Ovis aries: one gene and its partner. The protein of the gene in region 2 purifies or fractionates together with the protein of the main gene of each other region. This does not show direct contact. Links are inferred from orthologs where the notes say so. Each region holds a gene or a part of one and is shown on either strand. Other genes may lie near its edges.

Region 1 (3,988 bases), about 700 kb from region 2:
AGGGTAGTTATGAGTGTCAAATCTGACTGTGAGCAGCACTTGGTGAACCTCAGTGTTACTACGATATTGAGTACCACTGCTGGAGTAGCTCCAGCTCCGCGCCACCTGCCCACAGTAAGGTTGAGTGACAGGTGGATGGATTGCTGCTGATGGCTCCTTTAGGTTAACTCTCAGTGGTGCCATCCCAGCTTCACCCGCACCCCCCACCCCCAAGCTGCCACGTGATTCCAAGGGCTTCTGGGCCGTTACTCCTGAACGCCCAGTGAAAGGCGGCTGCTGCGGCGAGCAGCCGGCCAGAGGCTGTGCAAAATCGAGTCTGAGATTCCGAGGAATCTTTTCCTCCTCAATCTGAGAGCGGATCGTCACAACATGCCAGACATTCATCACTAAACGCAGTTTGCAAAATCCTAGCACCGTTCTGCCCACCGTCCCTTTGCTTTGTTAGGTGCTGACGCATTTATCTTGGAATTTTATCTGCCGGGTTAGAAATCCTTTAGTCCTTGGGGGGGGGGGGGGGGGGGGCAGTCTGTAGTTCTGGGAAACCAGGAGAAAATTAAAAAAAAAATTCAGTTTTCTGTTGGCGTTTGAATACCCTTCACCAGATCCATGTTGAAAGCCGATGGAAGCAATATTAGTTTTCATTTTCCTTAAAAAAAAAAAAAAAAGATGCTTAAACAGATTTCCAACCCTGGGACTAAAGTCATGCCTCGTATCGGGATCTAGGTGAATCTCCGAGCGTGGACCTGCGGCTCTGCAGGCCCAGCCAGCCGTCTCCTGCCGCCCACCTTGGCCCCGGCCCAGGTGGCGGCCGGCGTGGACCTGGAGCCTCACCTGGCTCGGTCGGCGGCGGCCGCACAAAGAGCGGCGCAGGCGGCTGCCGGGCCGAGCCGCAGAAAGTAGTCCCGACCACGCCGGCTCCCGATGTTGTTCGACGTCGCTTCACGCCCTCCGCGGGGAGGGCCGAAGGGTCCGGCCCGGGAAAGAATCCCTTCGGAATGCGCCACTGGGCGGCCTGTCCCCTCTGGCCCGCTTCTACTGGTCCCGCAGATCTCCCGGGGTCTCCTCGCCGAGGCTGTGCGCACGGTTTCCTCTCCTTTTCTAACCTGCCCGGGAGGCGGCACCGAGGGAGGGGAGGGCTCGCCCGCGCGCAGGGAGACCTCGGCGGCGATCCGTGACGGTGGGAGGCGTATCCCTGCGCCGCTGCGTGAGAGGAAGAGGCTGAATGAGGAGCTGCGCGGGGGAAGCGGGGCGCCGGGGGAGGAGGCGGCGGGATGGAAGCAGACGCTGGCGTCGCGCGAGCTCCGGGCGGAGCGGCGCGGTAGAGAGGGCGGCGGCGGCGGCAGCGCGCGCGGAGCCTTGACGGGCCCCCTTTTCTTTCTTCTCTCTGGAAAGCTGGGAAGCATGAGCGTGCAGACCTGCCGCTGCGGCGGCCGCCCCGGCTCCTCGCCTCCCCCTCTTCGGGCCGCCCCTCGCCGGTGAGAGAAGCGAACGCGAGCAGGGAAGATGGGGGCCGTCCTGAGGAGCCTCCTGGCCTGCAGTTTCTGCGTGCTCCTGAGAGGTGGGAGAGAAAGCGGGGGGACGGGAAAGTTGGTGGGGTTTGCGGGAGGGAAGGAGGGGGTCTCGTTCTGTTGTGTCTACGGAGGGGAGGGGAGGGTGGGGGAGGCGAAGCTGGGGAAGGAGTTGGGAGAGGCCTGGTCGTGGGGAAGGAGGGAGCAAGGGGCCCGGGAGAAGGGGCTGCGCGCTCCGCCCGGCCACGCTGCAGCCCCCGCCTCGCTTGCCCCACCGCGTCCGGACAGAGCGTTCGTCCGGGCTGCCTGGCGGGGTGACCTCCCCCCGGAGCCCCATCCTGTCCGAGTGACTGGAGATCGGTGGGTCTCCTGCCTGCAGTCACCGGGGACGAGGGGCTTTGTATGGATCTTGGCTCTCGGAACGTTGGAGCCCAAGATGCTTCAGCGCTTGGATTTCTCCCTCCAAGCCCCCACCTTTTCCCTGTGGGTCCCGTGAACTTTTAGAGCCCTCTTACTATTTTTTCCAGGCCTTGTAGCAACTAATAACTGGTTTCCGTGGAGGATGTAATGATCGTGGGTGAGAGCATAGTTGGAAAGGGACTCCGAGGTTATAGGTCGAGTGTTTTCAGCCTTGGGGAATCGCCTGGGCTCCAGCCCGTAATAAAATAGAAACGTTGCCCTTGCAACCTCTGGCATTCAGGACTTGCCCCTATTTTCGGAGCATGCAAGTGTACAGTTGGCACCAAGTAGGAAAGTCATCCTTGGTGGAGAGGAGCCTGTCCTGGGACCTAAGTTATCATCTGCTGCGCTCCCCTGGAGACTGCGTGGCACGTTGGTAAATAACATAGGCTATTCTAGGTAATTTGCCCTGAGAATCGCGTAAATTCAATGGTCCCAGGTTTTGTTTTTTAGATTGGCCTGCGAAACTGTCACACATGCTGCGACTTTTTTGTGACAGTTCACTGAGGTTTTTGACTGGCCTGCAAGATTTCAACAGCTCTTCTCACATCAGTGGTGAAGTGGTGATGACTCTGATGCTATGGGGCATTTACCAGCAGAGGAATTTAAGTACCAATTGATGGAATGACTTGAAGCTTTGGTTTCAGTTAACAATTCTCGCTTGTGTTCACGGTCAGTTCTTTTCAGGTATGGGACCTCTTGGGTCTAAGGAGATTTTTAGCTGTTAATTTAATAGGCTAAATTTATGTTCAATGTGCACACTTACTTTAGTTTCCAGAACACAATAGTAACAGTCTTGTGTTATAAATGAGCTGGATATGCCATTTCTGAGTATATGTTTATTGGATAAGCGTGATTGACATTGTTTTGGAGGAGGAATTTTTTTCTTTAGTTACACTTCAGGATTATTCAGGGAGATCCCCTGGAGAAGGAAATGGCAACCCACTCCAATGTTCTTGCCTGGGAAATCCCATGGACCAAGGAGTCTGGCAAGCTACAGTCCTTGGGGGTCACAAAAGAGCTGTTGATTTAACTGAGACACAGCTGAAGTGACTGAACAGCAGCCGCAACAGCAGGATTATTAGGTCTGCCTGTTTTATATACTTATACTTAATTACAACTCATTGTAAGCGTATTCTAAACTATTTCCACGTGTAAACTTTAGAAAGCTAGTGCTTATTTTATTTTCTTGGCAGAGAATTGGATGTAGTGGTATGTACTTGAGAGGTCTAGTAATTATATATTCATTTTAGTATGATATAGTTCCTATTGAAGGGGATTTTGCTATAGTTGTGAGAAACAATTTTATTTGACATAGAATATGGGTATATTTTAAGACAGAAGGTTAATAGAATTAACAAATAGAGTCCCCTGTTGGGTTAAAGCCTTGGTGAAATTGCATTCCATTACCCAGATGCTTCTGGTTGCCCAGTTGTATTTCTTGGAAGAGGAGGTTATGTTGTAAATGCCACTTGTTTAACACCAGAATTGAGCCCAGAATTGAGTTTATTCATTATTGGAGTTAAGAGAAGTTACATTTGAAATAATATTGTGACGTATGATATTATGTAAGAAGACCTAGAAAAGTTAATAGTGCAAATTGCTTCATTTCCACCAACAGAATTTCCAAAAGTGAAGCTCTTATTTTAAATATAGTCTAATCATGGTTTAAGGTGGCCTTTGAATTTAACATACTTAACCATGGGTATATATTTGAACTAAAACTATTTTTACTGTGAAAGATTTTTATTCATAATTTAGGTTCTTCTCATTCCTTGATAATGTCATCCTCTTAAAATTGTGTTATTAGTTAATCTTGGACTCCAGGGAGAAGTGATTACTTTGTTGTATTAAGATCACTTGTTGTATTAAGATCACTTTTCTTCACAGAAGAGTTGGAGGTTTAACATTGGGAAGATGGGATGATGGGAGAGTTTGGGAGACCTTTGGTCCTCTGGCCCAGTTAAATCAATAGCTGAAAGCCGGGAAATAATGCTATCATTATCTGGACTGTGTCCTCA
Region 2 (4,133 bases):
TAAAGCCGAAAGTACTAGCAGGCTTTAGAATTTATATATAATTAATAATGTGTCCAGCGGTGGACGCTTCGGAGCATTTTCAGAGACTATAAACAACAATAAAAATAATAGAGTGATCAGACAACACGTACTCAAGGATAGAACCTTCAGCCCCACCGGCTTTAACCTCAATTGTTTTCCCAGCCAAATATTCTTCCCACCCTCCCGGCAGGATCCCGGGGGTCGTCCCATCTGTCAGTGACGGCTTCTGAGAAGCGGTCCGGGGAGGGCTATTATCTCCAGGAACCCGTCCTGTCAACTTTGTACTCGAGTCCCCTTTGTCGGTTGGTAGCGGCCGCTATTGCTTTAAAAGGACAGCAGATTTCGAAACAGGGAGGAAGGGTGGCTGGGGGTGGCGGTGGTCAGGAAAAGGAACTCAACCGCCTTTGATAACTGCCCAGCCGCCTTCCCTTCTCCAGGACGCGTGCTCGGCCCGGCAGCGCCCGCATCCCCGGCCCGGCGGGTGCGCGCGCGCGCACCTAGCGTTTTCGGGGCGCCCACCTCGGCGGGGAATTCCCCCCCGCGGCCGGGCGGGCATCTGCGGGCAGCAGCCCCGCTTTGTCTCCGGCGGCGTCGCGCTCCGCCGCTCGCCCGCTCGCCCCTTTTCCCCGGTGCGGGCTGTAACCCGATCTCCCATTTCCTGGTGGATTCTCTTAAAGAGGCCGCGGTCGAGAAGCAGAACAAAGGCTATTGTTTTATTTCCTCCTTCGGGTTCCGCGTCCTTACCGGAATGTCCCTTCCTATATAATTATTTTCATTGCGTCCGCGCTCGGCTCGGGGTGGCGGGAGGGGGGACGGAGGAAAAATTAAAAAAAAAAAAAAAAAAAGCCCTGTGCCTTTCAGTGTATCTAAGAGACGGAACTAGGGGAGGGGATCGGATCAACGCCTCGTTGATCCTGTCCGGAGGGTTCTGGGGCCCCGAGGCGCGAGCCCGGCAGCGGCCCGGCGGAGCTTAGCAGCCCCGCGCCCGGGCCCCGGGGGCCTAGCGCACGGTCCCCCGCCCCCCGGCCGCCGCGCCGCCTCTCCCCCCCCCCCTCCCCCGCGCGGCTTTTATTTCCCGATGCCGGGCTGTAACCCGAGCTTTTATTTCCTGGTGGCTCCTTTAAGAGGCAGAGCTCAGTGCTGGGAATTCACGTCAGTTTCTGCACTGAAACTCTCAAGATCAATGAGCAAAGAGCTTTCTCAGTTCTGCCTTTCAGTTTCTCTCTTCCAGGAAGGAAAACATTCGAGAGAGAGAGAGGGAGGGCGAGGGAGAGCGGCGGGAGGGCGGGGGGCGGGGGCGCCGGCCCGGGTGGGAGGAGAGAGCGGGGCAGGCCGGCCGGGCTAGCGCCCCGGGTCGCCGCGCCGCGACCTGCAGACCCCGCCGCCGCGCCGCCCGCTCCCACGCCCCCGCCACCCCGCGCGCGGCGACTCGGCCGGCGCCCGGCCCGCCCCGCCCCGCCCCGCGCGCTCGCGGCCCCCCGGGGCGGCCGCCGGGAGAGATGCTGCAAGAAACTTCTTAAATGACCGCGTCCGGCTGGCCGTGGAGCGTTTCTGGGTTGGGGAGAGGAAAGGAAAGTGGAAAAAAAACTGAGAACTTCCTGATCTCTCTCGCTGTGAGACATGTCTGAGACTCCTGCTCAGTGTAGCATTAAGGTAAAGATCTTCTCCCCCTCCCTCTCCGGGGTGGAAAGCCTTGAGCTGCACCGGCCCGGCTGATCGTGCCGGGCTCCTCCGATCCGAGGGGGCTGTTGCAGTCGCTCTGTTCGCAGGAAATTATTTGGGGCGCCGGGGAAGGAGATGCAGCTCTCGGCGGCGGCGTACCCTCTAGTGTAACCTTGCTGCTTCCCCGCTCCCGCCGAGCCCCGTGTCGGCTCCTGCGCCCCCACCCCACCTCCTTTGCTTTTTGACAAGGAAATGCCGGTCACAGTCGGTCAGGAGGAACCCGAGTGGTCCTCAGGTCTGCAAAACACCCCGGTAATTAGTGCGCTTAAAAAAAAAAAAAAAGCCTGCTCCCTACTCCTACTCCCAACATGTGATCGAAATGTAACTTTTGTTCCCGAGGGGTGGTCTCCTTAGAAAAAAAAAAAAAAAAAGCTCTCCGGCTCCATTGGGGTTGGAATCTTTTTTTTAAGGGTTCCGCGAGTCTGGTCAGACAGTCTCTCCCCCCCCCCACCCCCCTGCCGCCCCATTGTAATTGCAGGCGCTTGTCGGAGAGACAGTAGTGCTGTCAGCTTTTCCTGGGCATTGCACAATGAATTTCTTTCTTTTCTTTCTTTCTTTTTTTTTTTTTTTTAAACCAAGGTGAATAAAGTTGCTGAATGGTTATTTTACTCTCGTAGGCATCTGAACGTTGAGCAATCCAAAAGTAGAAAACTCTTGTCATGCAGGGAGAATGATTGAAGTGACCAGGCAGAATGACCTTCCCACTTTGACAGTGCAGAGAGGGTAGCTAAGAGTAGAAATCTCCCAGTCTCTGGCCAAGGTTTGCAGTCTGGTAAATGCAGGATGGTGGAGGATGTTTGCAAACACAGTACTTATCTTCCAAGTAGTGGTGTGTGTGAGCATTTATGTACATGTCTGTATGTCTGTAAAGGCTAGTGGTGCTGCGGTTTGTTGCTTCTAAAAAGTTGTTGTAAAGTTTGCCACCGTGAGGAGGCACACTGATCTGTCCATCTCCCCCAATTAATTTTCCCTTCCCTGCGTTCCGTGTGCACTTTCATTTCACTGTTCCATCAGTGCTCAGATGGAAAAGCCTTCTTCAGTGAGAAGCTGAAGCTGCTGAAGTTTTGTTTGTGGCTTGGCCCATTTAATATGTTCATTGAGGGGACCCTGCAGAGACAATGAACAAATAACCAGTTTCCTTCATCCATGGGGCATTTTGGGAAACGTCTCTTCTGTTTTAAATGGCATTTACATAGGATCTGTTTAGAGGAAAACTCAGCATTTTCTCATATTTACTCATTAGGGTTTCATAATTATACTTAGGTGTTAGTATTTCTTATCAGGCGCAATTTCTCAGGGGGTTTGAATTAGGGTTAATGTGAACTGAAAAGGTGGGTTGGGATTGTTTTTGCCTCGCACAAAAAGCGCTTAGTGGAACTTTCAGGTTTCTGTGTAGATATCTGGGGATAGCACTATGTCTCCGGTGGAGAGGATGTCAGAGTAAAGAATTTAGGTAGGTTGATACTTTAAAACCAATTTCTTTTGCTGAATAAATTCGATTCTATGAGTTCAGGATAATCCTTGGGTATGCCTAATCTATCTGATACTTCATAACACAAAGGTAACTAAATAATAGGATATTAAATCTGTAAATTGTATTTAGCTCAACGACAATAAATCTGACCTCAGGAGACCTTGAACAACTATGGGAGAGTGATTTTGGAGTGGAGACAACGAAAAGCAAGCTGTTTTGTGGCTTGCTAGCTCTTCTAAAAAGACTGCGTAAGCCCGCTGTTCTGAGAGGCTCGGGGCTGCAGGCAGAAATACCAATGAGGGGTTCATCTCATGGTACCTCAGTGGACGACTACAGCAACTCCTTTCTTACATGCACAGAGGGAACCAATCCCAAACCCAGACGGCACAGTCCCTTAACTGTGACCTAAAAATTGCAGCCACGGTTTGTGTTATCATTTTCTATCTTATCGTTTACCCTCTCCATTCTTTTGGAAAGCCTCTTTTGTTGACTTCTGTATTTCTCCGTAATTAGAACAGATCCAGTGGTCTTCCCTAGTAGTGAAAGTATCACTTTTAATTTGGATTGTCCTTTATGGAACCGGTCTGCAACTGCTTACTTGGACTGTGCATATGTTTAAACGCACGGGAAGTGCATTTTCTCATGGCGTTTGTTTAGTTTGCAATGTTCCAGTAAGAAACTCTGGAGATCAAGGACTGGGATTATTCTAGCTCGTCTGAAAATGTTCTGGTGATTGTGTGCGGTGTTTCCCTGAGTCCCTGGGATGTGGTGCAATGACTGCAGGATAAAAAATGTTTGCCGGGAACCCACTAGTACAGCGATTTTTTTTTTTTCCTAGAGTCCAGTAAACAATAAAGTTTTCTGTGGAGTAGAGAATGAGTGTCAGGAGCTTTAAAGGATGAGCTCATGGCTCTGA

The links.
Region 1: the proteins of ETV6 (region 2) and LRP6 purify together in Homo sapiens (affinity purification with mass spectrometry; 3 studies listed by BioGRID and IntAct, counting the BioPlex papers as one, with this or other methods). This does not show direct contact. The link is inferred for Ovis aries from reciprocal best matches to the Homo sapiens genes ETV6 and LRP6.

Annotation. Positions count from the first base shown.
Region 1 is NC_056056.1:203,192,323-203,196,310, forward strand, and holds the start of LRP6 (low-density lipoprotein receptor-related protein 6), read left to right. Parts: upstream 1-1,186; 5' UTR 1,187-1,392; coding exon of another isoform or gene 1,393-1,503; coding exon 1,504-1,558; intron 1,559-3,988. UniProt on the Homo sapiens protein: Component of the Wnt-Fzd-LRP5-LRP6 complex that triggers beta-catenin signaling through inducing aggregation of receptor-ligand complexes into ribosome-sized signalosomes.
Region 2 is NC_056056.1:203,890,604-203,894,736, reverse strand, and holds the start of ETV6 (transcription factor ETV6), read left to right. Parts: upstream 1-1,328; 5' UTR 1,329-1,641; coding exon 1,642-1,674; intron 1,675-4,133. UniProt on the Homo sapiens protein: Transcriptional repressor; binds to the DNA sequence 5'-CCGGAAGT-3'. Plays a role in hematopoiesis and malignant transformation.